Neurospora crassa OR74A: one gene and its partners. The protein of the gene in region 2 purifies or fractionates together with the protein of the main gene of each other region. This does not show direct contact. Links are inferred from orthologs where the notes say so. Each region holds a gene or a part of one and is shown on either strand. Other genes may lie near its edges.

The links.
Region 1: the proteins of NCU01272 (region 2) and ace-2 purify together in Saccharomyces cerevisiae (affinity purification with mass spectrometry; 3 studies listed by BioGRID). This does not show direct contact. The link is inferred for Neurospora crassa OR74A from reciprocal best matches to the Saccharomyces cerevisiae genes CYM1 and PDA1.
Region 3: the proteins of NCU01272 (region 2) and NCU02407 purify together in Saccharomyces cerevisiae (affinity purification with mass spectrometry, with the first as the bait; 3 studies listed by BioGRID). This does not show direct contact. The link is inferred for Neurospora crassa OR74A from reciprocal best matches to the Saccharomyces cerevisiae genes CYM1 and LPD1.
Region 4: the proteins of NCU01272 (region 2) and ace-4 purify together in Saccharomyces cerevisiae (affinity purification with mass spectrometry, with the first as the bait; 3 studies listed by BioGRID). This does not show direct contact. The link is inferred for Neurospora crassa OR74A from reciprocal best matches to the Saccharomyces cerevisiae genes CYM1 and LAT1.

Annotation. Positions count from the first base shown.
Region 1 is NC_026503.1:1,563,248-1,567,383, reverse strand, and holds the start of ace-2 (pyruvate dehydrogenase E1 component alpha subunit), read left to right. Parts: upstream 1-1,333; 5' UTR 1,334-1,782; coding exon 1,783-1,935; intron 1,936-2,370; coding exon 2,371-2,504; intron 2,505-2,646; coding exon 2,647-3,014; intron 3,015-3,074; coding exon 3,075-3,161; intron 3,162-3,219; coding exon 3,220-3,731; 3' UTR 3,732-4,136. Other genes in the region: NCU16634 (hypothetical protein), read left to right, coding at 1-355. UniProt on the Saccharomyces cerevisiae protein: The pyruvate dehydrogenase complex catalyzes the overall conversion of pyruvate to acetyl-CoA and CO(2).
Region 2 is NC_026505.1:3,477,416-3,481,715, forward strand, and holds the start of NCU01272 (mitochondrial presequence protease), read right to left. Parts: upstream 2,813-4,300; 5' UTR 2,637-2,812; intron 2,422-2,636; 5' UTR 1,997-2,421; coding exon 1,707-1,996; intron 1,643-1,706; coding exon 1-1,642. Other genes in the region: NCU01273 (beta-taxilin), read left to right, coding at 3,548-3,836, 4,102-4,300. UniProt on the Saccharomyces cerevisiae protein: Degrades mitochondrial transit peptides after their cleavage in the intermembrane space or in the matrix, and presequence peptides; clearance of these peptides is required to keep the presequence processing machinery running.
Region 3 is NC_026507.1:2,606,974-2,611,182, forward strand, and holds NCU02407 (dihydrolipoyl dehydrogenase), read right to left. Parts: upstream 2,808-4,209; 5' UTR 2,340-2,807; coding exon 2,281-2,339; intron 2,194-2,280; coding exon 2,141-2,193; intron 2,069-2,140; coding exon 1,989-2,068; intron 1,902-1,988; coding exon 1,197-1,901; intron 1,122-1,196; coding exon 504-1,121; 3' UTR 64-503; downstream 1-63. Other genes in the region: NCU02406 (nuclear protein), read right to left, coding at 3,662-4,209.
Region 4 is NC_026504.1:431,401-435,542, forward strand, and holds ace-4 (pyruvate dehydrogenase complex), read left to right. Parts: upstream 1-1,325; 5' UTR 1,326-1,837; coding exon 1,838-2,149; intron 2,150-2,454; coding exon 2,455-3,519; 3' UTR 3,520-4,117; downstream 4,118-4,142. UniProt on the Saccharomyces cerevisiae protein: The pyruvate dehydrogenase complex catalyzes the overall conversion of pyruvate to acetyl-CoA and CO(2).

The DNA of each region.
Region 1 (4,136 bases), on a different chromosome or scaffold from region 2:
GCACGCAGCTGGACAGACAGACGGACAGACGGACAGACAGACGGGACAGAGGAGAGAGTCCATCAAGAAGCGGATGAGCAACTCGGCATTGGATGTGGTCACGGTACAAATACACTTCGTTCAGGAACTCTACACTACTATATTGCGAGACACTGTACTACACTACGGCAACCGGGACTATGAAAGACATACACATGCCATCGGTCCACAATGCCTTATATCTTATACCTGTTTTGCATTTGTTCACTCCCTCAACGTATGCATATCGTATGTTTTATCCCAAGATAGGATACTAAACCCACTTGTCTATAAATACCCGGGGGAAGAGGACGGGAGACTTGTAGCGATAGGTTAATGGCAGATATCCTCGATGGTTTGTCTTATGCTGGGCTTTATGCTTTTGTGGTTATGTTGTCTGTCATCAGGACGGTTGTGATACTTTTCTTGTTGATAATGTTCATAATGAAGATATCGCCGAATTGGATTAAAAGTGCCCTTGCCCTATATACGCAGAATCCTTCAAGGCCATGTTCGGTCAGATGTTGATTACGGTTACCTGCATGCCACGCCTGTCGTCTAAACTGTAGTGGTAAGAAAACTGATAAGCAATTATTCCCGATCGAGGTTAGGTAGGGTTCGTGAGGCAAGTGGAAAGCGGCGGCTGTTGGGTGGGGCATTCCGGAATGTCAAACTCCATTTTTGATGGGGTTCACAATGGAGTCGATGGGATGGCGGCATAGTACTGAGTGCCGCCCGCTGTGATAACTGGTCATAGTGGTGACGGTGGTGGTGGTGTCTTTGGAAGCGAACAAGGAGAAGGACGAAAACGAACAAGAGCGAGTCTTTCATTCAGTTCACCTCGTCCGTGACGAAATCATCGAGACCCTTGGCTGTACAACTCGTGGGCGGCAAACGAGGGTCTTATATAATTTGTCATGGAGGTAAGCTCGAATGGAGATCTCCAACAAACTTTCCTTCCCCCACCTGATCCATGCAATGCCAAACTCAGTTAGCGCGTGCTACCCAAGCTTCTGCCTCTGCTCAACACTCGTTCGCCTCGCCCCTCTGACTGTGGACTTTTTTTTTTTGGACGTTCCTTGCCCCTTCCCCTCCATTCTCCTCCAAAAGCTCATGGACCGCGACGGGGAGATCCATAATAATTTTTTCTGACAGCCCTGACAGCGTCAAAACGAGCTCCGGAGAACGGCCGGCATACCGGTACACGTACCGTTTGTGGGAGTTTCCTATCGCGTTAGTACCTGCCCGCCTTGACAAGCTTTTCTAGTAGCAGTGGACAGAGAGCTCTTGTAACTCTGTAAGGTAGGTAAGTAAGCAGTGACAGTACACCTAGCTGGGGGATCTCCATGCCAGAAAAAAAAATCCCCCGGGCCACAGCGTAACACACATATCCGACGATACCCTATCCGTGCTGGTGCCCTGTCTGTGAGCGCCGCCCGGCGTATCTCCAATTGAAGAGTTCGTTCCCTGACGTGCTGCGCCTGCTAGGTGCTGCACACCTGCCCTGGCTGCCCGCACCCAGTCCTGCCGTACCGGGCGCCCTGGCTCGCCTACCTACCCCATCGGAGCCCATCAATTCGCGACCCTTCCACACTCCCGTCCCAAGGATTTTCAGTTTGCCAGTTTGCTTTTGCTCGTCGACTCGTCCTTCATTCTCGTCCTCTCTCCGCTTCCACTCCTGTCGTCATCCACCCCCCCAAACTCTTTCAATCTCTCAGCTGCCATCGTATTTCCCAGCGAGACGAGAGAGACAGATAATCCAGAATGTTTTCTCGCGCAGCCCGGTTATCGACGAGGGTAGCGGCGCCCGTCCGCGCCCGCGTTGCTGCTCCCCGTGTCGTTATTCCCTCGATCGCCGCTAGGAGGTCCGTCACCACCAATGCTGCTTCGGCCCAGCTCGAGAAGCCCCTCCCAGAGGTACGTTTGTTTACTGTTGATGTCGGGATGTCGTTCGAAGTGGGTTTCGATGGTGGTATTGTGTGTGTTGGAGAAACAAAAGAAGACTGGAGGGAGGGAGAGACTCCCTAGTCATGTCCCCTCCCCGAGTCCCCCAAGCAACGCTCGTCGCGAGTCAAGCAAGTCATGTCCCATGCGAGTCTGTCTACCTTACCGCTTGCTGCCGGACCCGCCGGACCCGCCTTGATTCTCTTGACGTCAAGTCAATAGAAAACACCAGATGAACACCGTTTGTTTTGGTGGTTTCGAAACATATCATGTCGTCGCCGTCGTTGTCGTCGTTGGGGGCTGGGTTGTGCAGATTTTTGCGCGCAATCCAAAGACTGTTACTTGTCGCTACTACAACTACTCCTGGGAACGTCGATAAGCTTACCATGCAATTTTGCTTCAATCTAGTCGGAGACCGAGCCCTTCCAGGTCACCCTCAGCGATGAGAGCTTCGAGACCTACGAGCTCGACCCCCCTCCCTACACCCTCAATGTCACCAAGAAGGAGCTGAAGCAGATGTACTACGACATGGTCGTCGTCAGGTATGCAAAGACTACAATCCCCCTTGTCCTCACCGGGGGGCTCTAAGCTTCCCCCCTCCTATCTCTGCCGATCTCGGCCTGGAGGATCAACATGGCTTCACCACATAGCATATAGCTAACACATTGCTCTCTCTGCATATAGACAAATGGAGATGGCCGCCGACAGACTGTACAAGGAGAAGAAGATTCGTGGTTTCTGCCATTTGTCCGTTGGTCAGGAGGCTGTCGCCGTCGGTATCGAGCATGCGATCGAGAGAGCTGACGACGTCATCACCTCGTACCGTTGCCACGGCTTCGCCTACATGCGCGGCGGTACCGTTCGCTCCATCATTGGCGAGCTTCTCGGTCGCCGTGGCGGTATTGCCTACGGCAAGGGTGGTTCCATGCACATGTTCACCAAGGGCTTCTACGGCGGTAACGGTATCGTCGGTGCGCAGGTCGCCGTCGGTGCTGGTCTTGCTTTCGCCCACAAGTACACTGGCCGCAAGAACGCTTCCATCATCCTCTACGGTAAGCCTTTTCTTGGTGGGAACAACGTTGGGGGTTCGGAAGGCTAATACATTGTTATAGGTGATGGTGCCAGCAACCAGGGTCAGGTCTTTGAGTCTTTCAACATGGCCAAGCTCTGGAACCTCCCTGCCCTTTTCGGCTGCGAGAGTAAGTAGCCCAGGTTTCATGGTCTTAGATACTCTTACTGACATGTATGATGGTGCAGACAACAAGTATGGTATGGGTACCTCTGCCGCCCGCTCGTCGGCCTTGACCGACTACTACAAGCGTGGCCAGTACATCCCCGGTCTCAAGGTCAACGGCATGGACGTCCTTGCCGTCAAGGCTGCCGTCGCGTACGGTAAGCAGTGGACCAACAACGACAACGGCCCTCTCGTGCTCGAGTACGTCACCTACCGCTATGGTGGTCACTCCATGTCCGACCCCGGCACCACCTACCGTACCCGTGAGGAGATCCAGCGCATGCGCTCCACCAACGACCCTATTGCCGGCCTCAAGCAGCACATTCTCGAGTGGGGTGTTGCCTCGGAGGAGGAGCTCAAGAACCTCGACAAGGAGGCTCGCGCCTACGTCAACGAGGAGGTTGCCGCCGCCGAGGCCATGCCTCCTCCGGAGGCCAACCAGCAGATTCTGTTTGAGGACATCTACGTCAAGGGTACCGAGCCCGACTTCATCCGTGGCCGTACCCCTGATGAGCTTTTCTACTTCAAGCACTAAAAAAGTTAAAATTGAGTAGAGAGGCAGAAGTAATGACAAACTAGATGGGTTTTTTCAAGTTACAACCAAGAAACTTGTCCTTTCCTCTGATGCATATCACAAAACCAAAAATGGTGCTGGCGTCTTTTATCTACGTCGGCCATCATGGACGGTCGTCACTTCTTCTTTCCATTTTCCTTGTATAATAAAACATTTCTGCGTAGCGCAAAACAGTCACAAACACAACCACACACACAAACACATATATATATATATATATCTAGACAGGTTTTAGGGGAAAGGGATGGGGAAAGGGAAGGCGGGTTATGAAATTGATAAGCTTTCAAGATAGCTGTCTTGTTATGATGCAACAGCTGAATGACTGGGCTTGTGAGATGAGGTCCGATATCGTATCGCAGCCTGCCC
Region 2 (4,300 bases):
CGAATGGTAGCCGACCGAGACACCTCCAGTTTTGAGCTTGATCAAATCCTCAAGCTGCTCCATTGTCATGTCCTTCGTACCCAAACGCATGATGGAGTCAGTGAAGAGGGGGATCAGGCTTCGGAGCTCATCGGGCAGGTTCTCCAGCTGATTGATAGCACGGAAGTAGGTCAGCCCGTTCGTGGGAGCCTCGTGCCACTGTGTCTTGACTCTTGCTGTGTTATCGTGTCTCAAGATAACCGAGTCCTTCTGGCGGGGAATGTCCTTGACATGCACGCTAGGAAGGCAGCCAAGATCTTCGGTGTTGGTCTTGCTTTGCTCGGCCAACAATTTGAGTTCCCGAGCTTCGAGAGCAGCACGAGCTTCCTCTTCGCTACCAGCAGCTTTGACAACTTCCGAAATCTTGGTGCTTAAGCGAGTTTCCTCCTCTTGGGCCAGCTCCTGGCTAAAGGTTGGCGAAGGCGCCATCGTGAAGGAGAGAGTATTGTCGTTGATCAGATACTTATCAATCAAGCCCTCAAGATAACCACCTTTGGCAAGCTCGGTCTCAAAAGCAGCAATCGTGTCGTTCCAGGCAAGAGAGTCAAATGGATCGACTCCAACAAACCACTTTGGCTTCAAACGGTGGAGCAAAGACATGCCAAAGTTGGCAGTCTTGTGCTTAAGGCCGAGCTCAAGCTGGTGGAGATAGCCATCAATCTTTGATCTCTCAAAACCCTTGTCCCGCATGCTGCGAAGAATCTCCTGTACCTTGGCCTTGACCTTGGGCACATCTTCTTCTTGAACACCGCTGAGGCCAATGGAGAAGATACCAAGCTTGCCCGAACTGTCATATCCGGTGTTGGGGCTCCAGTCCGTTCCTAGCCCGGATTCAATCAATCCCTTGTAGAGAGGCGAGCCATAACCATCCATGAGCAGAGCAGAAATCAGCGCCAGCGAAAAGGACTCGACGACATTGTTGGTTTCACCCAGAACCCACGAAACGGAAGTCTTGAACTGCTTATTGGCGTCCACAAGGGGGTCAATAGGTCCATAGAGCTTGACTTCCCTGGGGCCACTGCTGAGGTCGATAGGGCTATGGTGTGCCACATCAGCCCGGATCTTCTCAAATACGTCGAGCTGGGCACCGATTTCCTTCAAGTGATCTGCCAGTGGCATATCGCCATAAGTAAAGACTTTGGCGTTGCTCGGGTGGTAGTGATCAGCATGGAACTTCTTGAGCTGTTGGTATGTCAAGTCTGTGATTTTCTGGGGATCACCACCAGAGTTGTGGATGTCTGGGAAAATGTGGTCTTGGAACCGAATCCAGAAGAGGTAGGCAGCATCCGACATCTGCCCCTTCATCTCGTTATAAACGACACCCTTGAAGACAAGCTTCCTGTCCTCGGGCTTTGCGTTGCCCTCAGCCGCAACAAGAGCCTGGGGATTCTCGGGTCCAATACGCCATCCTTCCTGTGTAAAGTCCGTCTCCTTCAAGAGAGGATGCAGAGTCGCGTCAAGGTAGACAGACATGAGGTTCTTAAAGTCCTGAGCATTGGTGGTGGCGAACGGGTAAAAGGTGTGATCTGATGCTGTAAAGGCGTTCATGAAATTCGAAAGCGTTCGCGGAAGCATCTTGAAGAAGGGGTCTCGGATAGGGTATCTGAAGGAGATTTCATGTCAGCGTGGATAGCCCAACCAATGATCCGCTGTTCGAGTTCGCATACTTTTGGCTGCCACACAGAGTGGTGTGCTCCAGGATATGTGGGACACCGGTGTCGTCCGGGGGATTCGTTTTGAAGCCGATAGAGAAGACATTGTTGCTGTCGTCACGGGCAATGTGCAAATGCTCTGCTCCGGTCTTGTCGTGTTGCAAGTGCAAAGCAGTCAACTCCAGCTCCGGGACATGCTTTGACCGGAGAAGGGTGAAGCCGTGGAGTTTCTCGCCGGGTTTCGGGTACTGGGAGAGCTCGGTGACGGCGCGGCGCGCTGCACCTTTGGTCGCGTTGCGCAGCATCGTTCTGGCAGCAGTAGAGAAAACCCGAGTGCTGGCAGAAATCCTTGGCACTATGCAAGACGACTGGAAATGGCGATGGTGATGGTGGTGGTGACGGTACTACTTGAGGCGTCCGGTTTTGGCGGCAGTTGGAACGGGAGCTGACGCGGAGCTAGGCCTGCCTGCCACAGCGGCAGTGGGTACCTCAGGTGGTGACTGACTGTCCCGCCCCCGCCGTCTGTCGCCCCTCAGCCCACACCCACCCCTCCTGCCCGCCTCCAAAGGAATCAAGTGGAAAAGGAAGCCTGCCCCTGGTGGAAAACCTGCAACTGAACCGTGCTTCGGCAGAGTCGGGAATAGTGGGGCCGAGGCGACGACGGGCGCTGGAGGCTGCACCTGCGCACGAGGAGGCTAGCTCTCTAGGTAGTGGTCTTGAATCATCCAACCTAATGAGTAGCCGTGCCTCAAAAGAGCAAAGTTGTTAATGAGGTACCTCAGAGCATGATTTGTCAGCGCTTCATTCCCACACTAAAGACACTGCGATAAGTACTGTTCTATCTGTTTGTAACCTCGAGGGACATTTTCACACGTACAGATAAAGGAAGTTGCCTCTGGAAGGGAGAGGTAAGCCTTAGTTGCACTATAAGCTCATGAGAATTACTTGTATTTACTTAACTGATCATAGGTATGGACTCTTTGCAACAATATAGTTTGGCCCCATCATGAGTGTTCGGAAAAGCAAACAAGTCATGTGTCTGAATGTTGAACTTTGGATGTCAACAGTAAGAGCGGCAATCGGCATCTGACGAATGTGAGATGAAGTATGTGAGCAGCATGTTAGTACACTATCCAAGACATATTGTTCATGCGAGGTCGATGCACGGCGGGCCACGGATGAAATCATGATGAAAACGCCGTCTGGTTCCTCGAAGTCGAGGACTTAGATCATGAAATTCCCCACAAAACATCAGGAGTATGTAAGTGCCGTCGATGACAACCAGAGGAAACATGCCTCCAACAGTGAGTAATAAGAGCACAGGTATCTAGAGGTACTTATTATCCATGCAGAAGGTAGTGGGCAAGAAGAATTGTGGAAAGTAGCAGCCATGAAGGGACGGCGGGAGCACTGTTTCTACTCAGATTTATAGTCCGTGCTGGGGCCCCGGAGACCGAGAGCAGGTACCTGCCGCCTGTTGAAACGCAGCGGAACCTGTCATCCAATTCGCGCGCCCCATCAGATTAACCGACGCCATAGCGATCTGGTCGTCCTTTCCCATACATCAAAGTCTTCCGCAGCCATTATCTTGACGACTGCTGCCGTCACGGCCGCCCGAATACACAACGACTCGATTACACAACTTCCACACCACAGCGCATACAGTTTTCCTATTGTGCGCGCTCAACACCACCATACTCTGACGACGACGACGGCTAAGCGGCAAGGCTAGCAGTAACGCACCACTGCCGTGCACACGCAAGCCTTTTGCAACTGACATCTCGTTGACATTGCCAGTCGGAGGGGCCACTGCCGACCACACGCCTGTTTCCGGCATCAAGGCCAGTCCCACGACAATGTCAAGCGCCAATCCTCCAGCCACTGCAACTTCCGGCCCTCGACCTGCGACACCCATGAGCAATGGATCGGCAAACCATCCGGTCGACCCCCCTCCTGCCACGAATGGCCACCCGAACCACGCTCACGAGACCCGGCCGGCTCCTGCGCCCCCCGCAAACATGGTGGGCAAAAAGGGCAAACCGAAAAAGGCTCCCGAGCCGAACGAGGCCAGTAAGCTCATTGCTGCTAGAATCACACAACTGGAGCAAGATGCCGCTGGTGAAAAGGACCAGGAGGCCGAAATAGGTGCGTGTTTGTCCTTACAACCTGCTGGGCGCTTGAGAGGGCAATGGCGGATGTTATGGGATCGAAAAGGGGGGGACGGAAGGCTCAGAAACACTCGACAGTCGTTGACCGAACCTCCTCAGTCAACCTTTGCTGCATGTCTTCAGACCACCCTCCAGTCTCGATTGGGATGTAGACGGGTTGAATCAAGACAGAGGAGTTTTGTCAAGGCGGGCGATATTGGCTTCGGATGAAAGAGAAGGCGCTGACAGCAAGCCGTGCGCAGAACGAGAGGTCAAGAAAGCTAGTAGGGAGCTACACAGCCAGACCTCGCGGATGAACGACCTCCAAAAGATTGATCATCTGACCAAACGCTGTGCGGACTTGCTGGCGGAGATGAAGAGGCTCGAACGTGAAAGCATCAAAAACAAAAAACGAGGCGATCAGCTACAGAAGGACAAGGACAATAGCCGCAATGAACTCAA
Region 3 (4,209 bases), on a different chromosome or scaffold from region 2:
CAAACAAATAACGTCATGCCAAGCAACATGCCCTGTACACGAGAATACACATTAACACCAGAACGAAGTTGAAGACCGGCATTGATGGGCACTGCTACTCGGACTAAGAAGTAATTGCACCAGCATGGAGAACAGACAAGAATCATCCAAAACCCACAGCCCTCTGATAACTCGGCAATGTTAACATAAAATAACCAGCAGCCTTCCTGCCATCCCATCTGGCAACCAAGGTAGCTTTTCTGTATCTCTTAAAATCTCGTGTATTCATCGAGTCTCGAGCCCAACCAGGACCCGCAAGGCCAAATAGCCCTAGTCCAACCAACAAGCGGCGTCTATTTAGCATGTCATGTGAAAATCCCCTATTAAACCCTCGAGGGAAAGCCCGTGACTACAGTACAAGTACACACCTCCTCCCATCCTCTTTCCATACTCCCAATGCTAGAAATCCAGACAGCACATTTTTCCGTGCTTAGAGCCATTCAACGCCAAAACGCTCCAGCTGCTTAGAAGTGGATGGCCTTTGAGTGAGTGGCCATGGCCGCCTCCTTGAAAGCCTCGGCGAGGGTAGGGTGAGCGTGGCAGGTGCGGGCAATATCCTCGCTGGAAGCGCCATACTCGAGGGCAAGGGTACCCTCAGCAATCATCTCACCGGCGTTAGGACCGATGATGTGGACACCGAGAATCCGGTCGGTCTCGGGGTCGGCGATCATCTTCACCATGCCCTCAGTGTCAAGGTTGGTCTTGGCACGGGAGTTGGCGCTGAAGGGGAAGGTACCGACGCGGTAGGGAACACCAGCCTTCTTGAGTTCCTGCTCGGACTGGCCAACCCAGGCAACCTCGGGGAAGGTGTACATGACCGAAGGAATGCAGCCGTAGTTGACATGGCCGTAACCCTTCTTGATGTACTCGACGACAGCAACAGCCTCCTCCTCAGCCTTGTGAGCAAGCATGGGGCCGAAGGTGACATCACCAACGCAGCGAATGTGGGGGATCTTGGTGCGGTACTCGGAGTCGATGATGACACGGCCGCGCTCATCCTTCTCGAGTCCAATGTTCTCAAGGCCGAGACCCTCGGTGTAGGGACGGCGGCCAATAGCGACAAGAACAACGTCACCCTCGAGCTGTGTTCGAACAATGTCAGCTTTGAAGATCACGACAACGAACAGATAGCCTGCAGGGTATCATGGGCCACTCACAGTCTCGGGCTTGCCACCCTTGGCGGAGTCGACCTCGAGCTTGACGGTCTCGCCAGTCTTGTCACCGGAAACGACCTTGGTGCCGGTCTTGAAGTTGATGCCCTGCTTCTTCAGGATCTTCTGGATGGACTTGGCAACCTCAAGGTCCATGCCGGGGCCGCCAATCTGGTCGAGAAACTCGATGACGGTGACCTGGGCGCCGAGACGGGACCAGACAGAAGCCATTTCGAGACCAATGATGCCACCACCGATGACGAGCATCTTCTCCGGGACCTTCTCAAGAGCAATGGCGCCAGTGCTGCTGATGACGCGCTTCTCGTCGATTTCGAGGCCGGGGAAGGGGGTGACCTCGGAGCCAGTGGCGATAAGGATGTTCTTGCCCTTGACGGAGGTCTCGCCGCCGTCGTTGAGCTTGACGTTGATGGTGTGCTCATCGGCGAAGGCGCCAGCACCCTTGATGTACTCGACGCCGTTCTTCTTCAGGAGGAACTCGACACCTTTGGTAAGACCGCTGACGGACTGTTCCTTGGCCTTCATAAGCTGGGCGAGGTTGAGCTTGACATCGCCGACCTCGATGCCGCGGTGTTTCGAGTCGTGGAGGATCTGATGGTAGAGATGGGAGTTGTTGAGGAGCGACTTGGAGGGAATGCAGCCGACGTTCAGGCAGGTACCGCCGAGGGTGCCGCGCTTCTCGATACAGGCGACCTATTTCCAGGCAACATGGGAGATAGCAGTCAGATATTGTCGTCATTCGTCGGTGTTGCGGTGTAGTTGATTCGCGATGCGACGCACCTTGAGACCCTCCTGGCCGGCCTTGATGGCAGCAACATAGCCAGCGACGCCACCTCCAATGATGACGAGATCCTTCTCCTCTACGGGCACATCAACAGTCAGCCGACCAGAATCCTTTGACGAGAACCAGCTCTTGATGTTGGCAAACAGACCAGACTCGGTCGCATAGGTCCTCCTCAACCTGGGAGAAACGACGACAGGGAGCCTGTATGTGGTCGTCAGGTCAGCCTCAGTACGCGCATGAGAAAACAGTGTGTCGGGCATCCGCCGGCAACCGGGACAGTGAGCTTACCCCGAGGGCTTGAAGGCGGACCGGACGGCAGCACGGCCTATTAATCTTTGGGACAGCATGGTGAAAGTATGTGCTGAATGGAAAAACCAGAAATGGAAACAGGGAAAATTCGAAGGAACGAGCGCACTGCAGAGAGATGCCCGGGGAAGCAGGGAATGCGATTCGATGGTGAGACGTCGAAAGTGTGTACTGAACTGCAAAACGCCGCGGGAGAGACAATTGTTGGGATTCGAGGCGGAAGCTATTCACGGCAAGCGAAAAATGTCCAGTCCCACTTGTTCGGGTTGCCAGCCCGTCAGAGGCTCACATCGCTCAAAGGGCACCCGCTTTCCACCGTGCCCGTCCCCAAGCTGGCCCGCTCGAGACAGCGCAGAGCGGAGTAGGTAGAGGTAGGTACGAACGGAGCGGAGTAGGAACACCACTACCTAGGTAGGTAGTAGGTACCTCTAATCTCGCGTACGCTACACTAAATAGGTAGGTAGGTACTGCCTGATCGTGTTAGTAGTGTAGAGGTAGTGTGCTACAGGAAGTAAAAGTACTATGATGCCAGTGTTAGGCGGGACGGGCAGCGCGCTCTTCGCCGTCTTACTTTACTGTCGCTGCTGCCCTGACTGCTTCGTCGAAGAAACCCGTCCCCAAATACGTACGGTACTAGGTACGCTCCATTGCGTCCTGTGATTGGTCAAGACGAACTTGGCGTGCAGCAGCTGACTCCAAAATTTTGACATCTCTGCACTCCCGCTATGTATTGTAGCCATTTTTCTGACAGCTTAGGTTGTGTTTGACATTCATCTTGCTCCTTGGCGCGATCCCCTCTTTGCTCCCCTCTTTACTCCGCCCGTCAACGCCAAATAACCCCAGCTTGCCCAGCTGCCGAATTGGAGAAGCATAACCTGTCCCTAACCCGTCTTAGAGGTTAGTTGTTTGTCGAACGACATGACACATGGCAGGCAATTCATCTCAAACCATCTGCCTCCTCTTCATGTCCACAATCAAGAGTCCCGCCCGACCCTCATGAAACCCTGTCCCTTCGTTGCAAGACGAAATGACATCATTGAGTGCTATTCACAGACCACTATATTTCCGGGCTCCCGCACACTCGAGTCGGTTGCTCCCTGGATCCCTAGTAGCAAATCGCCCTTCCTGACAACAAGTTCCCCAACTTAAAGCTACCCCCAACTTTTCCAGTCCCGCCGTCAACGCTAATATCTACAAAGTAGGTAACTACATTCGAGCGAGAATGCTTGGGTTAGTTCCATGAACTTGTCATGATATTGGTCAATGGCCTTTTGTATAGACCCCGGCACACTTGTATCCCTGATCATTATGTTGCTATTCCCGAAGATATCCGATCCATATACAGGTATCCAACAAAGCAAAATTATTCCACCAAGCCTTCGGCGGCGAGCAGCGCATGCTCCAAGGCCGCCATGGCCGTCTTGCAACCCTCCTTGACGAGCTTGGTGTTGGCCGCCCCTCCCGCGAGATCCGACTTCCGGACCACCTTCTTGATGAACCATTGCAGGCCTCTGGCAAGCTCGGGGACCCCTTCCACAGCCACAAACACCGAAGTAATCGTCTCATCCCGATCCTTGTCGCCGCCTTTTCCGGCTTCAAGAAGCACAGTAATCAGCAGGATCTCCACTAGCGCCCGCGTCTTGGTTTGTAGATAAGGCAAATTGAGGCATTTCAGAATTGCCAATCCTAGCGATCCACCTGCCACCATGGCCCCAAACAGTTTTGCAATGTTGACAAGCCGCCGCATGTCCATCGCATCTACATCCTCCTCATCCTCCGCGTCATCGCCAAAAACTGACTCTCCGAGACGCCTGAATAGCTTCCAGAGCGCGTCTTGGAACGACCACCGGATTTTGCGATCCCCGCAAAGCTTCTTGGCCACCAAGGTGTAGTATGGGTTGTAGACCTGCT
Region 4 (4,142 bases), on a different chromosome or scaffold from region 2:
TCCCGACCCTTCCACTTCCCTTCCTCTTCCATCAGGTACCTACACGTACCTACGTACCTCTCACTTTATCTCCGTACGTATCAATCTATCTGCCAGCCGCTTTGCCTGCCGGAACTGCAGCCGTGGATACTCTTTTTGACGCATGGGTCAGTAATTGGTCTGTTCATTGGTAGCCCGCCGCCGGCGTCAGCTTTTGAAGAATCCGATGATAGCCATTCAATCCCGTCTTCCATTGTAGATATGGATCCCATCTCTTTTGCGTATCAGTTGTCTTTGGACATATTGGACACCGGTGATCCATGACACGGCGTATTTCACATCCATCGGAGGGAAGCCAAACTGTAACTTGTGTTACTACCATAGGCTTGGAGTCTTGATGGTATGAATACCTCGTGGGAAGTTTAATCAATAACCAAGTCGTGTGCCTTTTCAGCTTCTACAACACGATCTCAGGGCAACTCGGATACGAAGCTCTTCAGAGGTTGGGAATATGACTGATGACGAGAGACCGTTGTTAGCTGCTCCTGATTGCTTGTACATACGAAAACTGAAATGTCATCACCAGTCCAATTTTGTCATTATATGCCATTCTGCAGCATCTCTCATGGATCGGGTCCCTTAGTTTGACATCACTGACACTGCAGAGTCCAATCCTCTTGGAGTTGACGGTTTCCATCGCAATCAAATCCTCCGATCGGCCCGCAGAACGTAATCCGTACCTTAGCGCGAACTGTTATGGATCCGTGCAGCTGCCAGTCCGATGTCCCTGTCAGCACTTCATCTCTCTCGAGGTTGTTCATCGGAGAACTGTTGAAGTCCGCATCTCACTTTGGTCCATAAGGTTACTTGATATTCAGGTCTTCATAACTCGCAAATACAGATAGCACCTCCATGCGCGCTGCTCATACATATAGATATTCAAACAAGATATCACTGCTCCAAAGCTAGGTTAGCTTGACAATTCCAGTTCGTGATTGCAACCTCTCTTATCAAGTAATCAATCATCCATCTGCCCCCATTAGGCTTAGCGTCATTTACTCCCCGTTGCGCGACCGGGGGATTCTCAAAGCTTGGCCTCCTGCTGTCTTTGGGCACCGGGCAGCTGCGAGGCCGTGCTAGCCCTGAAATAGCCTGGCCTTGGCTCGGCGGGGGCTCTGCTTACGCTGGAACTGCTGGGGGGAGCTTCCCCCAACTGTTGGGAGAAATCGCAGGGGGGCAGAGAGCAAGGAGCTGAGGGGACACAAGGCGGGCAGTGAGTGTGGTGAGTGTGGTTGGTGACGGGAAGTGAGAAAGTGTGATGCCACCGCCGCAGTGGAGAGAGAGGGAAAAAAAAAAAAAAAAAAAAAGTTCACGAGTGTCGCCGATTGAAGTCCGGCTCCGTATCCCGCCGCTGCCCGCTGTCATCTTCCTGTTGTGCTCTCCACGACGAATCCGTCATTCAGGTCGAATCTCATCTCGCGCAGTCTTCCATCTTTCCAAACCTGCAATCTTCCCGTTCTTTTTCCACTCTTTTTCCGCATCAACCTGACTCGCGCAGTCGACGACTTACACCTCCAGGCTTGGCCCTACTGCGAATCCGCGTCCATCAATCAGACATCCCGGCCTCCCTCCGCACAAGCCAGCTTCTCCAACCCGCGTCCCTCTGCCCCCCTCCCCCCCGGTCGGCCTTTCCCCTCTCCAAGGTCCTGCCGCCGCTGCCACTGCTGCTGAGTGCTGCTCCTCCAGCTTGGTTTGGAATCCCCACATAAACATTCCATACTAGCAAATTGAACACAACCTCCTCTCTCAAAAAAAACACCACCACAACCACCCAACCTTCACATCACACCCTCTCACCATGATCGTCCCCGTCCTCTCAAGGCAGGCTCTCCGCCATGCCAGCGTCGCCCGTGTCGCCCTCCCCAGCCTCACAAGATGGTACGCCTCGTACCCCCCTCACACCGTCGTCAAGATGCCCGCCCTCTCGCCCACCATGACCTCGGGCGGTATTGGCGCATGGCAGAAGAAGCCCGGTGACAAGATCGAGCCCGGTGAGGTGCTCGTCGAGATCGAGACCGACAAGGCCCAGATGGACTTTGAGTTCCAGGAGGAGGGTGTCCTCGCCAAGATCCTCAAGGACTCGGGCGAGAAGGACGTCGCCGTTGGCAACGTAAGTACCTACCTACACTACCTGTCGAGCCACGAGTCATCATACCTGCCAAACACTCCAGCCCTACCTACTCCAACTCCATGACTCCATGCACATCTCCTCCCATCCCGACCCTCTTCCCCACTCGACCCTGAATCCACTCTTCTTCCTTTATGCCTCGTGCGCGCCTCGTGCCCTGTGTCTCGCCTGTCGGGTGATATGTCATGGTGCCGTTGAGCGTCTACACGCCCCGCGTCGCCTTAGCTTGTGCGCGCCTAATGTAGACAGACGACCCATGCTGACCATGCTTCTTCCTCCTTCTCTAGCCCATTGCCATTCTCGTCGAGGAGGGCACCGACGTCAACGCCTTCAAGGACTTCACCCTCAAGGATGCCGGCGGCGAGACCTCCCCCGCTGTCCCCAAGGATGAGCCCAAGAACGAGAGCACCGCCAGCGCTCCGACCCCCGCTCCTACTCCCGCTCCCGAGCCCGAGAACACTAGCTTCACCGGCCGCTTCCAGACTGCCCTCGAGCGCGAGCCCAACGCTCTCCCCGCTGCCAAGAGACTCGCTCGCGAGAAGGGCATCGACCTGCGCAACGTCAAGGGCTCTGGTCCCGGTGGCAAGATCACTGAGGAGGATGTCAAGAAGGCTCTTGCTAGCGCTCCCGCTGCCGGTGCCGCCGCCGCTGCCTACACTGATGTCCCCATCTCTGGCATGCGCAAGACTATTGCCGCCCGCTTGAAGGAGTCTGTCACGGAGAACCCCCACTTCTTCGTTTCCACCAACCTCTCCGTCAGCAAGCTTCTCAAGCTCCGCCAGGCGCTCAACAGCTCTGCTGATGGCCGCTACAAGCTTTCGGTCAACGACTTCCTCATCAAGGCCATGGGTATTGCTTCCAAGCGCGTCCCTACCGTCAACAGCTCGTGGCGCGACGGTGTCATCCGCCAGTTCGAGACCGTCGACGTTTCCGTTGCCGTCGCCACCCCCAACGGCCTCATCACCCCCATTGTCAAGGGTGTCGAGGGCAAGGGTCTCGAGAGCATCTCGGCCGCCGTCAAGGAGCTCGCCAAGAAGGCCCGCGACGGCAAGCTCAAGCCCGAGGAGTACCAGGGTGGCAGCATCTCCATCTCCAACATGGGCATGAACCCCGCCGTCCAGAGCTTCACCGCCATCATCAACCCTCCCCAGGCCGCCATCCTTGCCGTTGGCGCCCCCCAGAAGGTTGCCGTCCCCGTTGAGAACGAGGATGGCACCACCGGTGTCTCTTGGGACGAGCAGATCATCGTCACTGCCAGCTTTGACCACAAGGTTGTCGATGGTGCTGTCGGTGCCGAGTGGATCCGCGAGTTGAAGAAGGTCATTGAGAACCCTCTCGAGCTCCTCCTTTAAACGCGAATAGCACTCTGTTTTGGATGACGTTCAGTGGAGTTATACGGATCGAGCGACTGCAAACTAGATAGCAGTCACTTGGCCCCAAGTTCACGGCAGGCCGGCGCATGAGATTTTATAGAAATGGGCAGGCATTGGAAGGATGGATGAATGGATGGGAGGAAGAGAGGTGATGGAATGACAATGTCAGTCAGTTGGTTGACAAAAAAGCGAGCTGATGCTACAAAAGCTTTTGGGAGGTTCCATTCAGTGTCATGTTTGTGTTCTCTCTCAACCACCATATGTATAATGATTCGATCCCACTTTTTATAAGCAAAAACTTGAGCATGAGGTGTGCGGGAAATACAGGAAATCTTTGTTTCTTTTTCGTTTGTTAGAGTTGAGTTCAGCCCCGGCATCGGTTAGGCAACTTGAGGACTTTTGGATACAGGATTTGGGAATGGCACCCCAATCTGTTTGTCCATTTCTAGCCAAATATGTGGTCGAAGCTGCCATGTTTTGGCAAACCTGCTGCTTGGCTGAGGATACCAATTTTAATTTTGGATATCAGTATTTGGACAGATTCTGCTTTGGCAAAGCGAGGAAAGGTCCTGACCAGGGGGCATCATAAGTGTGATGCCAAG